Lepisosteus oculatus: one gene and its partner. The protein of the gene in region 1 interacts with the protein of each later gene in a pairwise test. Links are inferred from orthologs where the notes say so. Each region holds a gene or a part of one and is shown on either strand. Other genes may lie near its edges.

The links.
Region 2: the proteins of tarbp2 (region 1) and znf346 interact in binary tests that used the Homo sapiens proteins (3 or more experiments, as listed by UniProt). The two-hybrid records come from large-scale screens. The link is inferred for Lepisosteus oculatus from reciprocal best matches to the Homo sapiens genes TARBP2 and ZNF346.

Annotation. Positions count from the first base shown.
Region 1 is NC_090696.1:17,890,219-17,901,164, forward strand, and holds the start of tarbp2 (RISC-loading complex subunit tarbp2), read left to right. Parts: upstream 1-6,758; 5' UTR 6,759-6,928; coding exon 6,929-6,981; intron 6,982-7,378; exon of another isoform or gene 7,379-7,477; intron 7,478-8,228; coding exon 8,229-8,398; intron 8,399-9,137; coding exon 9,138-9,240; intron 9,241-9,723; coding exon 9,724-9,793; intron 9,794-10,262; coding exon 10,263-10,380; intron 10,381-10,946. Other genes in the region: pleckstrin homology domain-containing family A member 3-like, read right to left, coding at 2,012-2,148, 2,908-3,063, 4,658-4,774, 6,106-6,154. UniProt on the Homo sapiens protein: Required for formation of the RNA induced silencing complex (RISC). Component of the RISC loading complex (RLC), also known as the micro-RNA (miRNA) loading complex (miRLC), which is composed of DICER1, AGO2 and TARBP2.
Region 2 is NC_090706.1:39,912,285-39,923,604, forward strand, and holds the start of znf346 (zinc finger protein 346), read right to left. Parts: upstream 4,159-11,320; 5' UTR 4,138-4,158; coding exon 4,080-4,137; intron 3,778-4,079; exon of another isoform or gene 3,693-3,777; intron 2,424-3,692; coding exon 2,320-2,423; intron 1,209-2,319; coding exon 1,113-1,208; intron 135-1,112; coding exon 1-134. Other genes in the region: uimc1 (BRCA1-A complex subunit RAP80), read left to right, coding at 7,193-7,303, 8,273-8,342, 9,414-9,538, 10,233-10,307.

The DNA.
Region 1 (10,946 bases):
TGCAGAACAATCCATGTCCTGTTTGTTGAATCCTATTGAAAACTAGAGCAACTGATGCAATTCAATTGATATTCATCCCCCTCAACATTGCAGTGCTGGAAAACTGAGAGTAGACTGAGCTACAGGTTATCGGATTCCTTTCCGACACACACCAGTTCTTTCTGCCGAAGACCAGTCCCTTGTTCGACTGTGGGTTCCTAATATTTTGGCCATTGGACACACACACAAACTACATAGAAAGAAAGAACAGAGACCCATGTTAGCATATATTTGTACATTTCCTTTAGATCAATGTCCTTTAGCGTTAATCAACTTGACAGGCCTTCCCATATAAGCAGTGCAGGACCCCCACCCACTTAACAGAGAGTGTCACTGCATGTGGGAACAAGGAGTGACTTTCGTTGTGTCCGCCCAAGCCCAGCCACAGCAGTGTGCGTGCCCAAGTCCTGCCACAGGACGCCCGGAGGCCTGCGCTGTCAGTTACAGTATTTACCCAGGGCCTATCAAGTTCCACAGAACTATTCTTTTCATGATGGCCTCGGCCCAGCTGAGGAAAAACATTTAAGTGCCTTTACGAGAGAGAGGGAAATGCGAAACCACATGACGCCTCTACAAAACAATGCCACAATCGCGGCGCGAGAAAGGAAGGGGGTCGAAGAAAGTCGTCTCCTTCTTCAGGAATGTCAGAGGGGTGACATGGTGCTGGCTCACAGCTCCATTATCTAACGCAAGCTGATATCACAGCCATTGTCCTCCCCCTCTCTCCCAGGCTCGCCCTCAGTGGTACACAGGAGTGGCCCGGTAGAGCTGATAGGACTGGCCTGCCACTCTTCTTTATGCTTTCTAGAGCCTTAGATAAGATCACTTTATTAGCCACATTCGAATATTGGCATATTATAAACAAGAATATACTATTTCTTGCATTAGGAATTTGTCTTTTCGCATGCCCCAGCTTGCTCTCCCTGAGACACAGAGAAGCTTGGGGTCAGAGTGCAGGGTCAGCCATTGTACAGCACCCCTGGAACAGTTGGGGTTAAGGGCCTTGCTCAGGGGCCCAGCAGAGTAGGATTCCTCTGCCGGCTGCGGGATTTGAACCGGCAACCTTCGAGCCACAGGCGCAGATCCTTAGCCACAGTGCCACCGTTTTAGCAAAATTAACTTTCCTTCCCCTAGTTTGACTTCTTTTTTTTTTTTGAGGGGACATTGATGAGGGACCTGGAAGGGGATTGCAAGTTTTGCATTTTACCTTTTCATCCTTCACAGGTAACACAACACACCTGAAATGTACGTGTTCTGTAACATTACTTTAATGGGTATCGGACGCAGAATGTTTTTGTTGGTTTAAAACAAAAATACTTATTAAAAGAGACCCTGTTGCCTGTCACGCCTTCCTTCCTTAAAGAGCAGCTCGACTCGGCTCCTCAGGGGCTGCAGTCCAACAGGTTTTGCTGGTGTCTTTAAATCTCCAGTGTCTGAACAACTTCGGTCCAGTGCAGCAAATCGGTTCAATGAGTTGATCAAGTTCTGAAGTGGAAAGAAAAGCAGAAGCCTCCTGGCCCCTCCAGGACTGGCCAGGCTGTTGAGCAATGCCACTCCCCTCATCACAGAGTCCTGGCCAGAGCCGAGACTCACGGGTCAATACCATCAGACTGCGAGAGCCCCGTCTCTTCTCCCTGCCCCTGACTTAAACCTAACATGGGGATTTGTTTTTGTGGTTTTGATAGTGAGCAACATGGAGTTAGATAAAGACAAAAACACAGCGGCAATCAATTTGCTTTTCAGGTTTTTTCCCCCCACTTTCAACTTGTTCTACAATTTGTGGCAGAGCTTTCTTAAACTGAATCCACGCCATGAGTCTTTCCTCTGGCACGGATCAGTAGTAGGTGCTACTAGAGCTCTTATCATCAGGTCATTGCTGATCAGCAGCTGGGCTTTTTAAAGACAGCGCCACTCCTGGGTTATAAAGCAATGCAAGGCAAATTGGGAAGGGCGAGTGGCGCTGGCAAGATACCTGTGTGTCTGGCAGCGTGCCTCCCTCCCCAGGCTGGACAGAGTGCTCGATCTTGTGGACCTGCTCCATCAGCAGATCACAGTACAGCCGCAGCTCGGACATCTTCCCCTTCAAGCTCTGGCTGGCCTCGTTCAGCTCTGCGCAGGGAAGACACTGACTCAGGCTTCACACGCGGCTCAGAGGAGCCCACTGCCTCCTGCTGTGAAGTTGGCGGCCCTCCACACCGCCTCCCTGTATCCCACTGGCACAACCAATACTGCCTCCCCACAGATATCTTTTCTCCTCCCAGAGACGAAGCCGTCCCCCCACGCGGCTTCCCACAAGCTCATCAGCTCCGATCGGAGGCCTCACTCCTGGCCTGGCACCTCTGATAATGAGCCATTGCGGATTAGGCACCGGACACCAGTGCACACTAGTGTACAGTATGTAAGGAAGCACATTTAAAACCAAGAGCAGGAGGTTTTCCTTTGCACAGCAGGCCAAAAGCTGGCCAGCCACACTGACAAGGACATACCCTGGCTCTTTATTCAAGAGACAGCTGGATGAGATCCCTGGGGAAATGTTCCGAATGGGAAAGGTATGCAGCTGAGCTAGATGGGGCAAATGGCCTCTCTGACTATTCTTCTGACCCATCTCAGCTCTGTGTGCCCCATCACAAAGCATCCCATCGCCTAACTCAGTCCACAATACAGGATTTTGGTATTTCCAGCCCATTGACTGGTTAATTTACCCAAGTGCAGAAGGTCGCTGTAATAATTACGGAGGAGCTGAGACACAGACTTGCGCTGGAGCTGAAAGGAAGAGTGCAGGTGGCCGAGCTCTGCCCGACTCCCTCGGCTGTGGCGCTCGAATACCCCGGGCTGCGCCACCGGGCTGCGGTTCCCCCGTGACCTTGCCTTTCTCCTTCTTTGTCCGGCTGTCCGCCAGGCAGGCCTTGGCGGTGCCAAGGGCGACCAGCCACCTCTGCCTCTCGCCCGCTGTCAGGGCCCGCAGATAGAAGCACTGCTCCCCGGGGATCACCAGGTCCACCCGCGTGCCGTCCGTCGGGTGCACTGGAGAGAAACACGGGACCCTGGCCTTAAATCGCAGCCACGTCCTGAAGCTATTGGCAGAAACGCTGGCAGAGACCTGCGCCTGACTCCTACATGATCAGCTCTGCTCCTAGAGGGTCGCCGGGGGCAGTTCAGCAGCACTTGCAGGTCTCCTCACCTCAGCAGCGACAGAAGGGTTAAATTCACTTAATAAAGACTCAATTGGTCCATAAGTAAGCCTCCTGCACTAGTGTGAAGCCACTGGCAATGTAAGCCCTCTACAAGATCCCCTTCTTTGCTAACAATCAAGTACACTGAAAACCAGGGAGGGGGCTGGAGGGGGTCGATAAGAAAAAGCCATGCAATATATTGAGCTATCCCTCCAGTTCTATGATCCAATCGCCTTGCTCTTCCTAACTTTCAGAGCATTTTCTGCAAGCATTTTGTTGTAGCCTGAATGTAGCCAGCAGCTCTATCACCCCACAACTGGCAGCCCACTGGAGCTCAGCAGGTTCGAGCCTCTTCAGTACCTGGATGGGAGACCTCCTGGGAAAGCTAAGGTTGCTGCAATAATAATAATAATAATAATAATAATAATAATAATAATAATAATAATAGCTTACACTTATAAAGCACTTTTCTGGACACTCCAGTCAAAGCGCTTTACAGGTAATGGGGACTCCCCTACACCACAACCAATGTGCAGCCCCACCTGGATGATGGGACGGCAGCCATAGTGCGCCAGAACGCTCACCACACATCAGCTGATCAGATGTGTTAGTAAAACCAGTAGAGGGCGAACACCCTACAGTCTATATGGGTCCTAATGCCCCAGTGCAGTGATGGGGAGACTATACTGTAAACTTCATATGAGACATAGATCCAAGGTATGTACACTCTGTGGTCATTAAAAATCCCAGAGCACATCTTGAAAAGAGTAGGGGTTTTACCCCAGTGCCCTGGCCAAAATTTCTCCTTGGCCTTCACCAATCATGGCCTCCCAATAATCCCCATCTCTGAACTGCCTTCATCGCTCTGTTCTCCTCCCCACTGATAGCTGATGTGCAGTGAGAGTACTGACACATCATCCAGGTGGATGCTGAACATTAGTGGTGTCGGAGGGGAGTCCCTATTGCCTAAAAAGCACCTCGAGTGGAGTGTCCAAAAAGCATTCCATAAGCGCAAGGAATTATTATTAAATGAATCAGTAACGCTATGGATATTTCAAGACATTTTCTCTGCTTGTGAACAGCACCATCACCACCAAAGGGCTGCAGGTCTGCACATTACTGTACTGCCGATCAATTCTTATCTGCTGTAGCAGACCCACGTGCTAAAATGCTACCTTTATGGTTTACCTGCAGCCACAGAGGCAAGCAATAAAAAAGCAGCAGTAGGCCACCAGCAGCCAATGCCCTGCCAGTCATATTAAACCCTTTCTTATGAGTCCAGCAAACCACGAAGGAAAGGGAGCTTTGAGAAAGGAATCGTGGGCCCAGCCAGGGGTCACAAGGTCGAGCAGATCCGATCCCCCCCATCTCGAAACAATGCTCTTCCCGCAAGGGAAAGTGGCCCACGGTGTGTCCATCAAGAAGGGTGCGGCAGCGCCACCTACCTTTAATCTCACACACCGCCATCTTGATGCTCCCCTTGCTGCCCTTCCCCACGTCCTCCAGGGAGTCGTAGTAGGACAGGATTGTCCCGTCCAGGACGAAGTAGCGGGGCTGCCACCCTTCACCCCGCAGAGGCAAGAGAGGGAGAAAAGGATTGGGATTGAGAAACGGGGCCAGACTCTGGACCACAGCAGATATTGAACTCGGGATAAAGATCAAAGACATCAGAATTAACATGACATGAGAGAGGTGGGTGGGACACTGATGGAGGCCACTTGTTCTACAGTTACTAGTCCGATGGGTTTTAATAACCGAACCTCCAGCTGAATTATTTTGAACGACTATTAGAAGCAACACGAGAGGAGCTGGGACACACTCCGGCTCTGAAAGCTACCCAGGTCCCGTAGCGTTGTGCCGACGAGACGACCCGCTAGCCGTTCACTACAACCTGGGGAAGCAACTTATTGAGCAGCAGCAACTGTCATGAAGGTCATGATCACTTACAGTTAAGTGGAGGTTGTTTTTTTCCCCGTTCTGCAACACAAACGCGAACCCTTTCCAGTTTAACCAAGTCTAAGTTAAAGCACTGACCAATAACAGTCAACCTTCAAATTTTCCAAGTGTGAAGCAGTAGCTCACCGGCGTACGGATACTGTATCTACTGTACTGAGAAGCTGATATCAAAGAGCTCTTTAAAAACAACAAATCAAGCACTTTTACGCACTAAAAAGGGAGGAAAAAAAACTTAAAAGCGTCATTTTTTAAAAGAAAGCATAAGTAAAACAAATTCAACGCTCGTGTTAGTTTTTTTTTTACATTTAAAACGCTTCGGTTTAACGCAGGAGAGATTAAACTTTTCTTCCCCCTTCACAAACCCGTGACGCATCCAGAAGGAAGCTAGATGAAAAAATTAGGAGATTCCTCTGAAATACAGTGAAGGTGCGACTCAGTGGCTTGGAAATATGACTCGATCGAAGCCTCCATGAAGTGGATGGCCGTTATACGTTATGTTCACGGAAAACAAAAAAACAAAAAGAAGTTCGCCGTTAACTATAACTTTGTTACAGCTGAAGTTAGAATGCGCAGACATTTGAAATAAGCGAAACAAAACCTAAACCAGAAAACGATGTAAAAATATCTAAGAGTTTTAGTACGGCTCACAAGTGCGCACGCACATGAATGTTAAATTCAGTCTGCTACCGAACAGCTATGCTACGTTTACAAAGATGCTTTTGGCCGAATGAACCGACAAAACTTGTTAAGACTGACAGCATCGCCTCAAGACTCGCCTTCACCTGACAGTCTTTCACTAATAAGACAGCACGCTAAGATTTAATACTTTTTCGAGCGGTTTCGAGCTACTTATTAATTAATAATGAATCACCCGATAAGTAGTTTGTCCACTTGTGCAAAACCCCCTCCATAGCCCGGCGACAACGATAAAACCCACCGACCAGTCGGCGACGGAGGAGCGAACCGGTGCGAGCGATACACTGCATTGGCCTGGCTTTGCCCAATCAGAACGGAGTAAACTGGAACAGAAAGCTGCCGATTGGCCGAAACTCATTCACACCACCCCCTCCCGCTACGACGGAGCGACTAGGGTGACTAATAACGTACTAATAAGACCCACCAGCCAATCGCAGCTCAGAGGCGACACGAGTAGGGTTTGCTGGGAATTGTAGTCCTTAGTTATAGCCAGTTCTTGAGATGAGCAGTAACAAACTTTAGTTGGGTGGTTCTTCAAGGGAGAAGACGCTATTGGCACGTACTGATAGTATTAAGTGCTCGCTCGATTCCACCCTCAACCGACACGCTGAGATAATTGCCAATGTACCCAAATACGTTGAACATATGATTTCAGGTTTGGAAACGTGATGCGTGGAGCATGAATTAATACATGCGTCCAAATCTAGAGAGGCTTGCATGCCGCACGGGAATTTTACCTTAGTCCTAAATTACGGATTCGCGCACGTGCTCTGAAATTGACCGTGCACATATGTACAGCATAGCTCCAGATTCCCTTCCGGTTTGCATCTCACTGGCACACGCTATCGCATGTAAACGTTTTGCATTTTTTTTACCCTTGTTGAAAAAAAACTACATTTCCCAGAATGCAGCTGCTCAGGCCCGGATATGGGAGCCGGCTGCTGCGCTCAAGAGCGGTTGTATGTTGCTGCTGAAGAGGCTGTGAATGAAAAACACCGGTTAATTTGTTCAAAGGGGGGTGTCCGGAATCCGAAATTATCACGTTTTCGTTCCGTAAACGGGGAATGAGCGACGAGAAAACCCCGGCTAATTGCAAGAGAAACTCTGGGTGCCCAAGGTAAGCCCCGAGCACTACCGGGGGGCAAGTTGCAGAGAATCGTGCCTTTCGCGTGCGAAAGAATGAACGGTGTGTGGGATTTCCCTGTTAAAATATATTCGTTTAGTATCCACTTATTTCCCCCTTAGCAGAAAACAGGATTCTACAACAAAGGCTTGTTTCGTTTTTAATACGAAATTATGCACTAAATTGTAACGCAAACATGGCTGAGTAACTTGCTTTTATCCGTTACCTTGACGCGGTCGTTTGCTACGCGTTTTGTTACAGTCCCAATAAACATTTGGGTTATGAAATTCTTCGTTCTTTCCTCCGGCTGATATGTCTTTAAAAGGGGTACCGTTACCGGTTTGCTCGCACACATCTTAATAAAACGACCGCGTTTCTCCCTTGAACGCACTTCTTCACAATGTTGAGAATTCGGATGCATTTCTGCTCGAGACCGATAGTCAGCTGCTATTCCGACACCTCGAAATCCTGACCCATCACTCTGTTTCTGCTTTCTTCCCCTGTCGAGTCCTTCTTTTATCTCTCCAGCTACCTCTCCAATATCTATCCGCGGGGGGCAATTTAGGGATGTTGGCCCAGGTGTTCCCAATTCTGGTACTAAGGGATTCACATCCCCGCTGGTTTGTGCGCCATCTGAGCGCATAATTACACGATTGTTCCCTTAATAGGTTTGAATTCAAACTCTTCAATCGTTTTCAGTTCCTAAACATGGAGGACAGGGGTGTCCGGTGCAGGAACCGGAGGGCAGCTTTTGACAATGTAAATAAACACATGGATCAACTCGATCAGTTTAACAGCTTCTCAAGTACCGCTGCATTAAAGAAACCTGGAACAGACACTTGCAGACACTGATGTAGGAGGCTGTCTTTTAACTTGGTTGTAGTTCTTAAGTAACTAGGATCTCCAGTCTTTGAGAAGAAACTTTCAAAGGTTCTGACCAAGCAATTTGTTGATTCAATGAAAGATCTCGGCTGCCATAAAAACATATGTCTGTGGGATCCCAGGAATAGGATTGGGAAGCCCCGTACTAGCATATATCCTAGAAAAAGTAGGCATTATTGGTATTAATTACTTAATTTTAATTAATTACTTCACTGAACATCAGTTGCTTAATTAACCCAGTTGCCGAGGATACAATAGCTGTTTCCTCACTCAATTTGTCAGAGTGTCTACTAGGAGGAATGCCTGTATTGATCTAGTCTTTTCAAACAAGACTTTTTTGTTTCATTCCCCCTCATCAGTATTGAGCAAATGCTGGCTTTGAACCCCGGAAAGACCCCTATCAGTTTGCTGCAGGAGTATGGAACGAGGATAGGGAAGACCCCGGTGTACGATCTGCTCAAGGCTGAGGGACAAGCACACCAGCCCAACTTCACCTTCCGCGTGACCGTGGGTGACATCAGCTGCACAGGTGGGTCGCCGGGCAGGCCGCGAGTCTGCGCCCGGATTTCCCTGGTGCGTTTCGACGGGCGATGTCATCAGTACTGCAGCCCTGTCCTCTGAGAAAACAGGGACTCCGTGATCCACGATCTGTGATCCTAATTTTAAGACAAACTTCAACTTTGAAACTGTAGATTGAGATATAAAAGAGAGCCAGCAGGAACTGGGGGTGAGATTTTGCCTGTGTCTGCCTTTGGGATTTGCCTTTAGCCAGAGGCATTCCAGAAGAACAGCTTATTTAATTTTATCGATATGGATTAAACTTTGCTTTTTTTTCCAGGAGGATTGACTCAATTACTGACTCAATTAAGGAGACCTTCCTGCACAGGCCTGACTTAGCAGGCAATTTTAAAAGATCTTACAAACTAATCAATATAATAACAGTGCTGGTTCCAGCCAAGCTCTTGACTTAGTTGACCTAACACATTGCTTGCAAACTTTTGCACGTTTCTGTATACTAAAAGTTGGCAATCATAACTTATTAATTGAATGCAGCGGTTTAAAGGTCCCCTCTGAAATGTAGTCCTATTAATAGGTAAATTAAGAGTTCAATTACCTGACTTGAGAGATCAGCTGGAACTTGAATCAGCAGCGGTGGGTGTGTCCAGGGCCAGGGCTTGTAGATCCTGATTTAAGGAGAGCTGTGAGAGCTGCTCTTGAAACTCGCCTTGGGAAGTCCTGCTGAAAGCTGTCCTGGGTCTGTGTTGCAGGTCAGGGGCCTAGCAAGAAGGCAGCCAAGCACAAGGCAGCAGAGGCAGCACTCAAACTCCTGAAGGGCGGCACCATGATGGAGATATCAGCTGATGGAATCAGGTGGGTGTGTCCGGTGCCTCTGTTACTCATAATAAAAGTGTCATCTTAGTCTGCAATGTCCACTGTTATCATTTCTTCAGGCAGTGATTTTGCATGCTTTTTATTTCCATAGACTTGGTTTCAGGTAGTGTTTACAAATAGTATACCCTCCTCCAATTAGTCAAGATTCACCTTTTTTATGGTCCCTCTGTCGGCTTCCACCTGTTTACATGAGTTGTACTTGGACCTGGTGCCATTCTTCATAAACATGGAATGGGAGTGAATCCCGAATCTTAAATCTGCCTGAACACCTGCATTTGGACCCAGGACTACTCCTACTCTGGTATAGCAGGGAGTTGACAAAGAGGGTGTTTTTCCGTTTTCCCCTGTAGTTAAAGGCTGAGTAGTTATTTTCGGCTCAGACCTGGGTTGGTGGCCCCCAGCGAAGGGTGCGATCGTGAGCAGTTCGTTGACTTGAACTTGGTGTGTTTCTTCCTATCCCAGCTCCCAGTCTGAGGCAAAGGTCTCCAACTCCGTGCAGCAGGCAGAGTGCAATCCCGTGGGTGCTTTGCAGGTATGCTAAACTGGCTTGGACACCAGTAGAAGGGCTTGCTCTGGCTGGCAGCCTTAAAATGGGATACTACAGGGGAATTTAGAAAGGGAGAATGGGAGGCCTATGGCTACCTGCCTCACCCATGGCAAAGGAAGTCAAAATTCGTTACTGAGCAACTTTCCCATGTGGGATCCCATTCACATTATATAGAGATCTTAGAGCTCCAGGCTGCAGTCTCCTAAGGATAGAGCAGCTTTCTTTGCTAGTGTTTGCCCAACCGAAACAGTGTTGAACAGAGTGTTTTACGGAATTGTTTTCCTTTTGGGTTTCAGGAAGTGAATAATGGAATAAAAATGTTGTATACTTGAGGTATTTTGCTGTGTTCTGGGCTTTGCGATATGCCGTCTGACACGGGGCGCCCTGGAGACGGAAACCAGCCCTGGCGATGCTGTGACTCCTCCATCTTGTTCCTGCTTCCCCCTTCCTGTAGGAGCTGGTGGTCCAGAAGGGGTGGCGGCTGCCGGAGTACACCGTGACGCAGGAATCCGGCCCGGCGCACCGGAAGGAATTCACCATGACCTGCCGGGTGGAGAGGTTTGTGGAGATCGGTAAGAACAACGGGGACCCCCTGCCCCATCCTGCTAACGCCACTGCTCTCTCCTGCTGACCCTGAGCTCATCTACCGATCCACCTACCCACCCACACAGCGGATACTGAACAGCTCTGCCGTGGGGAATTTGTGAAGGCACTGACTCTAACATTTTAAAACATACCTGGCCAATCTGTTGAAGCTATGATGAAAGGGGAACAAATGCTCTTTGTATAATGAATCGGCAGTGATGAGTGCATTTCACACCACAGTGACACTACGATGTACACGGTACCCTGTACGACCTCCAGTCTAGAGTCGGAGTTGCAATGTATATGTAGTGCCATACCGCTGTCATTGTGTGCGATGCAACAAAACGTCCAGTGACCCCCTTACATTGCAAACATGCTTGAGACCTGGCAAATTTTGCTCCTTTATTCATTTTAAATTTAATGAAACACACACACACACACACACAAGGCGACATGCTTTTTAGATACTTTTAAGAATCTAAAAGTATGAACTGAAAATATGTCCCTATTCATTGTTGTTCGCAGCTGTAACGTTGGCGTGTTTTAACACCTC
Region 2 (11,320 bases), on another chromosome or scaffold:
CCCTGAGTCTTCAGCTTCAGGGTTTTGGCGTGCACCTTGCCCTGGTAGTGGGACTCGGCCATGACGGGCGACGAGAACGTCATGTTGCAGATGGAGCACGCCTTGTTGCGATCCACCACCCCGTTGCTGCCTGCCTGAGGAAGGAACAGGAAACACTAAAGTCAATGAATGGAGCGAAGGAGCCTCCCCTGACCTAAGTCCCAGCCTGTGAGAAGATGGGATGAAAGCAGCCTGTCTGAGGAAAAGTCTCTTCCCCGTTCCTTAACTTGAACAGGGAAGATCGCTCATGCTCCTGTTGGTTGATGACTCCCACCCGCTGAAAGCCCAGGTTGTAGAAACGATCTGGCCAGCTGGCCTGGCTGCTTCTTTAATGTTGACGCTTCATTGGGCGCCTCTCCTGCTGTCCCTGGATCCTCAGCCTGGACTCGCCGTGCTCCACGCTGCCAACAGGGGACAGAGGAGTCTGGCACTGCTGCTACTAACACGGCCACGGCCCTGTTTCGTGGGGGCTCCACTGTAGTCGTTTACTTCATTTCTGGGTGCCTTGAGTAGAAATGTGCAGGGGATGGACCAGGGGATTAATTTGTTCATAGAAAACATTTTTACTTGCAAAACACATGACTGCAGTGCGTTCCCAGCTCTAGTGCAAGGAGACTTCTCACAATTTCTTCTTGTATTGCCAAATGAGCAGTCTTGTTATGAAATGGGGAACAGATTAAACACTCACGTTCTCTCCGAAGCAAAAAAGAAAGTTCATCTGAGTACTCATTTGGAACAAAAACATTCAGAAACTCACTTGCTATCCGTTATGTAACAGAATTACTCATATAACTAACTGATTTACAATGGCAGCAAGGACAAGAGACTCACCACATTACACAAACAGGAGGTACTCCAACACCGGAGGCCAACAAAAATAAGTAAACCCCAATGACACTATTTTATTTCAGTGAGGTTAAAATTTGCTTAAGATTGAACCACTGTTTTGGTGCTTACTATTCAGCTTGACTTTAATGTGCCATTTTAAACCACCCCTGCCTGCTCCCCTGATCAGGGCTCATGAACTTATTGTTGTTATCCTGCTCTTCAAAGAAACACTGCTTCATGCTTACGTTGTCAGATGAGTGGCCTTTGAACCTTTTCAACGATGGTTCCTCATCCTGGTGGATACTCATGTATCGGCGTACTTTATTTGCATGTTTTTTACTCTGTAAAAGTGAAAAAAAACAACAACATTTAACTATTAAACATCAGCAGCAATCCAGAATGAAGAATAAAACAGCACTGAATTCCTGATCTGAATGTCTCCCAGAGCTGGGAACCTTTACACTGGTCCAGTCCCTGGATGAAGGCTATGCACAGAGCGGTTGATAATGCCACACAGATGGTCTACAGAACCAAAGAGGCAGAGATGATCCATATACTAGACCATGTACTGCATTGCTCAGCGGGAGTATTTAATAAGCACAGTGCTGCCTCACATTTTGTATTGAACACCCTTTTATCAGAGAGAGCACTGTAACACTTGTCAATAAGCGCATGACTGCAAGAGGAGAGGGATAATATAATATATAGTGCTGCAACTGCCATCAGATCCAGATCGACATCTAAATTTCTGCACCAGTCTTCTTAATCCACTTGTGCAATTTTTTTCCATCTTCTCTCTGCCCCCTGCCCAAGTACCCCCTATCCAGCATCCACATCTCAGGGTGGCCTGGTTTTTAAACTGTAATGAACGCTCCTGGTTCTGTGTCAGCAGTGTGTGGAACGACCGTCTGGAGACGACTTTACAGGCCCACTGACAGTTTTACTGCCCTTTTCATTACAGTGCGATGTGCTAATCATGGAACTGGGAAGGCAGAGATCATTTGCAGGCCAGACGCAGAGGAGGGATTCAGGTTATTTATTTTAGCTAATTACTGTACGTTTGAAATTTGGACTGTTGTTTCTGTTCATTATGGTAATTGACTTAAATATGCGAACGTTCAGAGGTGGGCTTGGCTCTTTGCAATGGTTCTCTACACTGAACCCTTGCAAATGTTGAGATATCCATATCCTTCATATAAATACCAGCTGCCCTCCTCAGCAGCCGTAGTTGCTCCACTTCGTGGTTAGTGTTTTGTACAGTACAGCTTACCGCCTGCTTACGTGTTGTTTATGTAGCATGCTAGGATGTGATGGCAATCTACACAAATACACTGGTATTGCATTAAGTCTGTCTCAAGGCTGCGCTCTCCCACATGCCAGAGGGGGCCGTCCGGACAAAGTGTGCAGCGCAGAGACACAACACAGAAAACAACAGCCAAGTAATCTACCCACCTGGTAATGGGCAAGCTTTTGTGATTCGGAGATGAGAAGGGCGCTGCACACTTTGCACTGCGTGTCAGAGAAGAGGTGACTGTGTTCGCTGATCATCTTGTTCACTGTTGAAGAACACAAACGGGGCACTATTAACACTAGTTCTGGGGCATGCACTGAAGCAAAAGTTAGCTTTATCCAATGTACACTGGAAACTATACATTCCCGTCAACACACATTATCTTCCTAGCAGGTGCTCTTATCCCGGGTGATGTACGGTTCAATAAAATCAACACAATATGTCGATTACATGATAAAGCAGAAAAAAACCACTGAAAGCACTTACAAGCAGCTGGATCCCAAATGCAGAAATCTCTGCAATGTCATTAATCCAGGCACAGTTCAGGCAGTGCCAATACTTGATATTTCTGACATTAGAATGTACTGTAGCTGGACTATCTACCGAGAGTTAGGCAGAGCTCAGTAATCAGCACACTGATGTTTTTTTTCCTCAAACTTGCTTGTCCATCTTTTTTTTTTAAGCTGTATGTTATTTAACTTGTTGCTGCTGCTGCTGTTCTGTGTTTATGTTTTTGGCGATTCCTTTAATGTCTTTGTATTGGAGAACAGGTGCAAATAAGCATTTCATTGCACTTGTGCATATGACAAATAAACTGAACTGAACAAAACTGGACTGAACTAATGCAGAGTGACTTTTTCTGCCAACAAACAGCTGCAAGATTCAGGTGTATTTAGGAGTGAAAATCTGTCGCTAGCACAGGGATCTCAGCCTTGACCCCTGATTCCAGGTCATTACAGCACTTTTGAACTTCCAGTAGGTGCAGCACTGAAAGGACCCTTAACTGCTTAATTAGTCCAGATGCTGAAGGTCAATTAATGAATTAAGAATTAGCCAGAGGAAGGACTTTGGTCACAAAGACTGAACACCCCCATCTAGCAAAACGATTTCTACTCTTGACCTTCGGAATGACACAAACCTCCTTTTTGCAACATGGGAAATATTTAATTAGATCTCTAGAACAGGGGGTCTCAAGCCACAGACCAGGACATCCCCAATGTAGGTCACCCCGAAATGTGAAGAAAGGATATGATTTCATTGTGATCAGTTAAGTGGGTGATTAGTTAAATGGAGTACTTTAGACATTGATCTGGGACCCAAATCTAAGATCTCTTTCTTCATCCTTCATCCTTTATTAGAGTTAATACGCTAATAACACAGAGGTGCAGCCAACCTTTGTTAAGAAGGTGACCTATAAACCTGTCTGGATAAAAACAGGGTTCTGGAGAGCGTAGCAGCTTCCCGGAATGGCCCTGGCTGAGCATATAGTATCTAGGCGGAAGGGCATTTACTCCGAAAAAAAGTTTTCATTCACCGGGAGCGATGTTATTGGCGTCCACTGAGGCATTTTAAGAGTGAAGACCCGCAGCTCGGTTTCCATGTTGACAGTAACGTAAAACATCTCGCCGAGACTGCGGAGGTAGCAGAAGGCATTTGATCGGGAATTTCCGTGCACACTTTATATACCCTCTCCGCGGACAGCATTAACTGTTTTCTGCCTCGCTTCCTCGACCTCGAATGATGCATTTATTTATTTTTTACAGCTTCCATCTCGGAGCACTTATTTCCAAGGCAGTCAGCCGCTGAGCTCCCCGCTTGTGTCCGACTCCTCCGCCTCTAGAGGGGAAACCAGCTTCGCACAAGTCCCCCCGATATCTGCGACACTCCGCTCGACTCCGGGTCCTCGGGTGAAGGCGCTTACCCTCCTCCAGCCCCGACGGCACAGCGGGTAAATCCCCGTTCCGCTCTCCGTCCGCCATGTTTCCCAGAGCCGCCGAGCTGCAGCCTGAGGTCTCTGCTCTCCGGTCGGTGGGGGGCGCTGTGTGCTACCGGTTTAAATGTGGGGGGGGGACTCTTTATATCCCCTTAAGTGTAACAGGTCTGTTCAAATAACGTCTTGATATTTTGAATCGCACGGAACTCACCCCCCCCAGTGCGTTCTGACTTCTGTACTGCGTTTTGACCTCTTGCAAACAGTAATAAACTTATCCATCATTACATACATTGTCGAGGGACTTTTTTGAGCTCCTCTTAAGAAAAGAAGTATGAAAGAATTAATAAAGACGAGAAAACCGGTGTAGTGCACTATTCTGAACAAAACATCCCGATAAACATGCTTGGTTTTCTTCAGGTTAACTGCACCCGGGTAAAATGCCTTCCATTTACATAGTACTTTTAATCCCAAAAGATCCTAGAACTCTTTCTAGAAAGGGGGGAACCCAGTTCCAGCCCTTACTGAAGTCAGCCCCGCCTGGTATGGTGTGGTGGAGGAATGAGAAATGAGTTCAGCCGAAGGACGTAGTTGGGGATCTTAATTTTAACACCCCGTCCTAAGGATGACACCTCTGAGGCGAGGAGCCCCCCTCAGACGGGGGGATAAAGCTTATAACCCAGACCTGGTTCTTCCTCGGCGACCCCCCTCCCAGTACTGGCCAGGCGTACTGAGCGCCTTCGAGCTGGCCAGTCCAGGCTGCTTCAGGTGAGCCTGTCCAGTATTCTTACGTGTTTTATGTCAATTAAACTTCCGTGTCCTACAGAAGACGGTGTCTTTCATATCAGCCGTGATAGTTTGGTTTTTTTGGGGGGGTAACAACACAGCGGTCACAAAATGAAGCGGGCAAAATATATCTGCCAGGCTCACCTGATATTTCCCATTTTGGTTCCACTCTTTTCTGTAGCATTAAACTGAATTATGAAACGTTCACATGAACGAATATGTGTTTCCTTTTAAATTGGTGCTTTTCTAAAGAAATCATGTATGGGTTTTTATTTATAGTTAACGGTGGCTCGGGTGTGGCACAGGGGTTAGTATTGTTGGTTTGCGGCGATGGGACACTGGGTTCAATTCCTGGGGTGAATAGAGCAGGGGAGTTTATTGCCATACTGTATGTACATGAACAGTGGGATTCTTATTCACACTGATCTCTCGGGACGGGTACAGTACAGCACCACACAGTGTAGACAGTACGTAACAAACAGTGATGGTATGTACAGTCAACAAACGGACCAGCACAATAAATACACAGTAGAGAACAAGAAATAGGCGGTAGTGAACACAAATACATGGTAGTTCAAGACAGGAGTGCAGAGGGCAGGGGTGCCCTATCCTCTGAGACAATGCACAGTTAGCGGTTCATGATGCTCGCTGCAGCAGGGTTGAAGCTGTTCTTGAGTCTAAGGGTCAGTTCTTTTGCAGTGCGGTACCGCGGGGGGAGACCAGCTTATGGCTGGGATCCTGTATGACGGACAGGCTTTACAGCGACAGCGGGCGGTGTGGATCTCACCGATTGATGGCCCATCACATCCTATAATCCTCTGGGCCGTTGCCACAACCCTTTGTAGTGCGTCTCTGTCACGCATGGTAGTAGTGCCGTACTGCACGGTGATGCCCCTAGTGAGGACACGTTCTGTTGTGCTGCGGTAAAAGTTCATGAGGAGCTGCTTCCCCAAACCGCATTTTTTTTAGACACTGCTACCTGCATGGAGTTTGTTTGTGGTTTCCACCCACAGCTCAAAGACACACTTGTTTTAAACATAATCGTAGTATTTATTCTGCTTACACCTACAGTCAAGAGTGGTAACTTCTATCTGATCATAAGAACACACATGATAAATGGATCCCCAAGGGCCACACACCCTCACAGAACACACAAACCCTCGTGGACGCCGGTTACCCAAAACCCAGTGTCCCAGATTAGCAGCGATGTCCCGGTGTGCCTCACTGCACCACAGCGAAGAGCTCTCTGCAGCCTTTCAGGGGTTACAGGTTTCAGCTACCTCTTCTGTCCCTGCTGTTCCTTATTTTCCCCAAGTCCACTCTAGGGTAGGAGGGGAGGAAGACGATGGTGGACTCCCCCCCGGTGTCCCAGTTCTCTCCCGTGTCTGGTGGTGCAGTCTGTGTCCCACCAAGTTCTTCCGTTAAAGTCGGTAGGACACCTGACTTCTGTAAAACTGGCCCTGCTGAGAGTGTTTGTGTGTTTGCCCAGTGTGTATCCTGTCTCACTCCTGTATTCAAAATAAAGTCGAAAGAGCAAAAAGAATGTCTTTTGTATGGACAAACCATCAAATGGAGTAATTCGTGGCGAAGATTATCTTTGTTGGAGACGCCATATCCTTTAAAGCCCAAGACATATGAGATTTATCCCTTGTGATTGCAAATAAGATTACTCTCCCAAATTTCAATATTAATAAATTAGCAATAAAACATTGTTGTGTTCTAGATTTCCTCACATCACAAGTTAATATTCGGTCAATGTATTCATAAACCGGAGAAATGTTTCTTAAAATACAACAAAAGCAAACGAGAGCGCTTAGTACCATTCTTAGAAATCATGTTCTGAATTTTGTTTTGATAGCTTTCAGATTTTCAGCGAGTTTTTACAGACTGGAATAACGAGCTCCAAAACAACTAATTCAATATGTTGAGTGAATCAATACAATGTGTTGATATTTATGCATGCCAAAATTACTTAAGCGTAAACATTAACACCTGCTCTTGGTTTGCATTACTGAACAGTTGCAAACGAGAATGCACCCAGCATTCTTTGCGGCTGGGAGATCACGTGAGCGAGGGAAATATGGCGACCTTTGCGAGTCGTCTTACAGTAAGAGGTCTGCTGTCAGTGCAACTGCAATAATTCGTATTTTGCGAGCTGACTAATAAGTGGCACCCACCAGTGCGCCAAGCAACCAAGGCTGAGCAGCCATACTGAGGTTTTCATCTCTCAGTGGGAACCGCACAGATCGTTATTCCAGCCTATTCGGCTATTGTTTCCATACTGTAAAAGCCAGGGTTGTATGTAGTATGCTGACGGTATGCCGCAGAAAAGGCGAATTCGTGCGAGGGAAGCGGACCAAGTGCCCAAGAAGAGACATCTCGCTGAAAACAATGGCGAGTTTGTTGTTGTGTCTGACGCAGAAAGCGAGGTTTGTGCTGGTCCTTGTCCTTCAAAGTGTTTCATCATAGCTAGCAGACGCGGCTTTGAGACGTCTTCAGTTTATTTTTTTTATTCAGTATTGCCCTTCTTATTGGGGGGAGGAAAAAGTCTAAAGGGGCATACCAAAGACCCAGGTGACTAGGCTATACCCACGCATGTTCGGGCGAGGATACTGAGGAATCGAGCGAGATGAGCGAGTCTACGGGTTGAGTTCCGGCTGTCCGCTCTGGGCGCAATTTTTTAAGTGTTGTCGGGAACTGAAACGCATAGGAGCTCTGCATGCCTTTATTTAGTTTTTTACCCCATTCTGTTTTCGACTTGTATAGGGTTTTCCGCCCCATGCCACTAAAAGTGCATTCTTCTCTTAGATAAGTTCCAAAGAAGATCAGCCCTTACCAATCCTGATTTCTGGGACTGTTACATATGGACAGGTTAAAGGAACTACTGTAGATCTCTTGAGTCTAGAACAGGGGTGTGAGCTTCTGATGGAGAAGAAGAATAAAGCAGAAGACATTGCATCCTCCAGGAATTTAGTTAACCACCCCTGTTCTAGAGCAAAGGAGATTAAGAGGAGGTTTGGATCAAGTATCTGAAGTTCAAATAAGTAAAAGCAGAGGACTATATCAGGATCGGAAGTGAAATAAGAATGTGGTGTCACAACTGGAAGCTTTTTCTCTGTCCTAAAATTGATTCAGGTCGGCGGATGGGAAATGCACCTTTATATACAAGGAGTGTCTGGAACAGTCGGTTAGTTGAGGTCAAAATTCTGGTGTACAACAAATTGCCCGATAAAGATTTTAAATTCAGTCATCGATTAAAACATCGAACAAGCCAAGTGGACCTGATGGCCTCCTTTCGTTTGCCACTTTTCGTATGTTTACGATGCAGTGATCTCTTGTAGTTTGAAACAGCAGCTTTGGTGATGAAATGTGCTGCACCTTTGTGTCCTTACCTACAGAAACAGCATGACGTTCTCCTGTCAAGGGAAGACAGGCTGCAGGCACGACAGCAGAGCGGACAGGCTCGAGGTAGGTTTTTAATTATTAAGTGTTCTTTCTATTTATCTTTCTTTTCTATTTATCTTTTATTGGTCTTATTTTATTATGACTTTCCTAATTTTTATTTATGTAATTTTCAAGCATAAATTGACATTAATGTTGCTTTACTGTATTACTGTTTTCCTTTACAACTGAAAGTATATCTCTTATTTTTAAGATTTTATTTTTACGCTTGGTTTGTAAAGCACTTTGATCTGCTATTTGTATGAAATGTGCTCTATAAATAGTTGTTGTTGTTGTTGTTGTTGTTATTATTGTTATTATTATTATTCTGTCACATTAAGTGCCTCCTAAAGCAGGAGTAGTGCTCTTCCCCACGGGCTCCAGTGCATTTCATGTACGTATGACAGGCTTCTGCACGACCCCCTTGTGTGCAGAAGGTGTTGGGTGATGTTTAGTCATTTTGTCTAGGTCAGGTGCTCTCAGTCCTGAACCTGTAGGTTGGACCCATAACTTACCTTAATTTGAACTGTTTAATTGTTTTCATTCTGAAAGGTTGCCTTAACAATTGAGATTTGTGCAGGTTTGTTTCCCGCAGCCGGCAGAGGAATCCTACTCCGTTGGGCCCCTGAGCAAGGCCCTTAACCCCAACTGCTCCAGGGGCGCTTTATAAATGACTGACCCTGCGCTCTGACCCCCAGCTTCTCTCCCTGTCTGTGTCTCATGGAGAGTTGCTGGACAAGGCATCTCAATGATATTTTTTTGTGACAGAAGGCACGGTAATGGTTAGTAATGTAGAAAATACGATACTATATCCATGATTAATTAACAGTTTCGGACTTCTTAACGGTGAAGATATTATGATTGTTAATTGCCTTCTAAGGGGAGGTACAGTGTACTTTAAACAATAAAAATTAGTCGTGCCACCAAAAGAGGAAAGTTAGCGAGGGGGGCCTTTCTTTCTGTGGGACATGGAAAATGACCTTGAGAGTCGTACTTTGTCCCTCCCTCCTCCTACCCAAACCCTGTACTAGGCCGCTTAGCAACCTAACGGGGAGACAGGCCTGTCCCTTGAGTCATGGAGATGCTCTTGTTCTTCAGAGATGACAGAAGACGAAATGGTGAGCCTGGCCATGCGAATGAGCGAACAGGAAGCCAGGCGGACCAAGCAGCGGGACAAGGAGGAGGACGAAGCCGTGAGGAGGGCAATAGTGGAGAGTCTACATGTACTTCATGTGTTTATTCTAAGAGCTGTCCCGTGCATGCTGAATGGAAGTGTGACGCGTGGGGAGAAGCCAAAGCTCAGGGATTTCCTTCATGCTGCTGGATGTGTGTGTGTGTGTGGGGGGGTGGTGGGAAATTCCATACAGAAACGTCCTTTTCTCGAGGGTTTTGTCCAATACGTAGGTCTGTACTCATGCAAAGACTTCTCGCAGTCTCGCTCTCGTAGTGCAGCCCTTCCCTTTAAGTACGACTAGAATTACTAGTAGGTAACGTGTTTCTAATCATAAACTCTGTTCTGAGCCCCAGCACCTTCTGGGAATTGTAGTCTTCAGACTACAGAGGGGAAATACACTATGCTGTATTCAGGGTCTGATCTATTAATCCTGTATACCTCTACCCTGACACTATCACAAGCACGTGTGCCACTCTCATTCACTAGTTTTGTTTAGCTGTAGATTCAATTAAAACTTCCAGCAGCCTGTTGCAAATTATGTACAGTACGTAGTGCTTTTGTTTTCACAGGTGCTTTATGTTCCCTCTAAACATGAGTTTAGATTTTTTGTAAAGTTGAGGGCATTGGCGACGCAGTTTATTTCACTAATTTCTAACAGTGTAATCAAATAAAGTATTAGGATGCACATAAATCTGTCTGCGATTTGTTTATGTTTTAATGAGTTAACGTTTCTGGTATTTCAGGAAAGCAGCAGATGTGATGATCCCGACCAGACCAGCTCGTTTGAAGAGCGAGAAGAGTTTGCTGCCCAGAAAACAGTAAGTAAAAGGAAAGAGAACTCCCGTCATGAGCCCTGTCGCAGGAGTGAGAGCCAGTCAGATCCTGGGTTCCGCTCGGGAAAGAGCACTTTGGGTCGAACTCCTGTCCTCCTCCTGAAGAAACTGAGCCCAGATGTGTTGCATAGTTGCCAGGAGTCAGGGTGTGTCATCTTCTCTCAACGCTTCCCGGTAATGCCAACACCTAGCCAAGCTTCTGGACCTCCTCCTCCTTTGACCTGGAGCCCTGCGGTCCCCGAAAGGTCACTTCAGTGTCCGAGGTGGAAGCTTGTGCTCCCAGTCTGGGAAAGGGCTGAAGGGGAGGGAGCCAGGAGTGGTGGGATCTTTCCAGTGACGCCGGTTTGCACCATCGAGAGATTGAGACAGGGCAGCTTGCAGTCCCACTCCCCGTTCATAGAGAGCACAGGGTCCGATCTGTGGTCCAAGAAGGTCAGTACAGGTTTCTGCAGTGTAATATTGTCATTGACTGTGGGTTGTGTCATTGTTTGGACATTTCCTTTCTAAGTGGACATAATGTAAACATTTAGGGGAGTAAGAAATTCCAGTGCAGTCCTAAACAATGTGGAGTATAGCAAATAGATGTTGTCTGTATATGTTCGTGCAGTCATAAATGTAGAATGGGCAGCCTCCACAGATACAGACCAGATTTTCAATACCCTGCTCTTGAACAATGGAGGCATGTCAGATAGCATGGTGTGGCTGTAAATAATTAGTTCAATCTGTGAATGCAGGGTATGTGATTCTTTCATATAAGACTTTAACAAATGTTAAGTGTGAAATATGGTTCAGCAGGAAAAGTTCAAAGGAATATATTTTTCATGTTTGAAACTTTAAAAAAACCCTTTCAAAATGCTTGTACAATCGGATATCTTTTGTTCAATGGTTGATAATTGTTTTTAGTACTGTACGTTGTGACCTACCTGTAGGAGCGGAAGTGTAAATTTGGAAGCAAGAGGGGCTGAAATTTGTATTGAGTATTTGAGTAAACTCAGTAT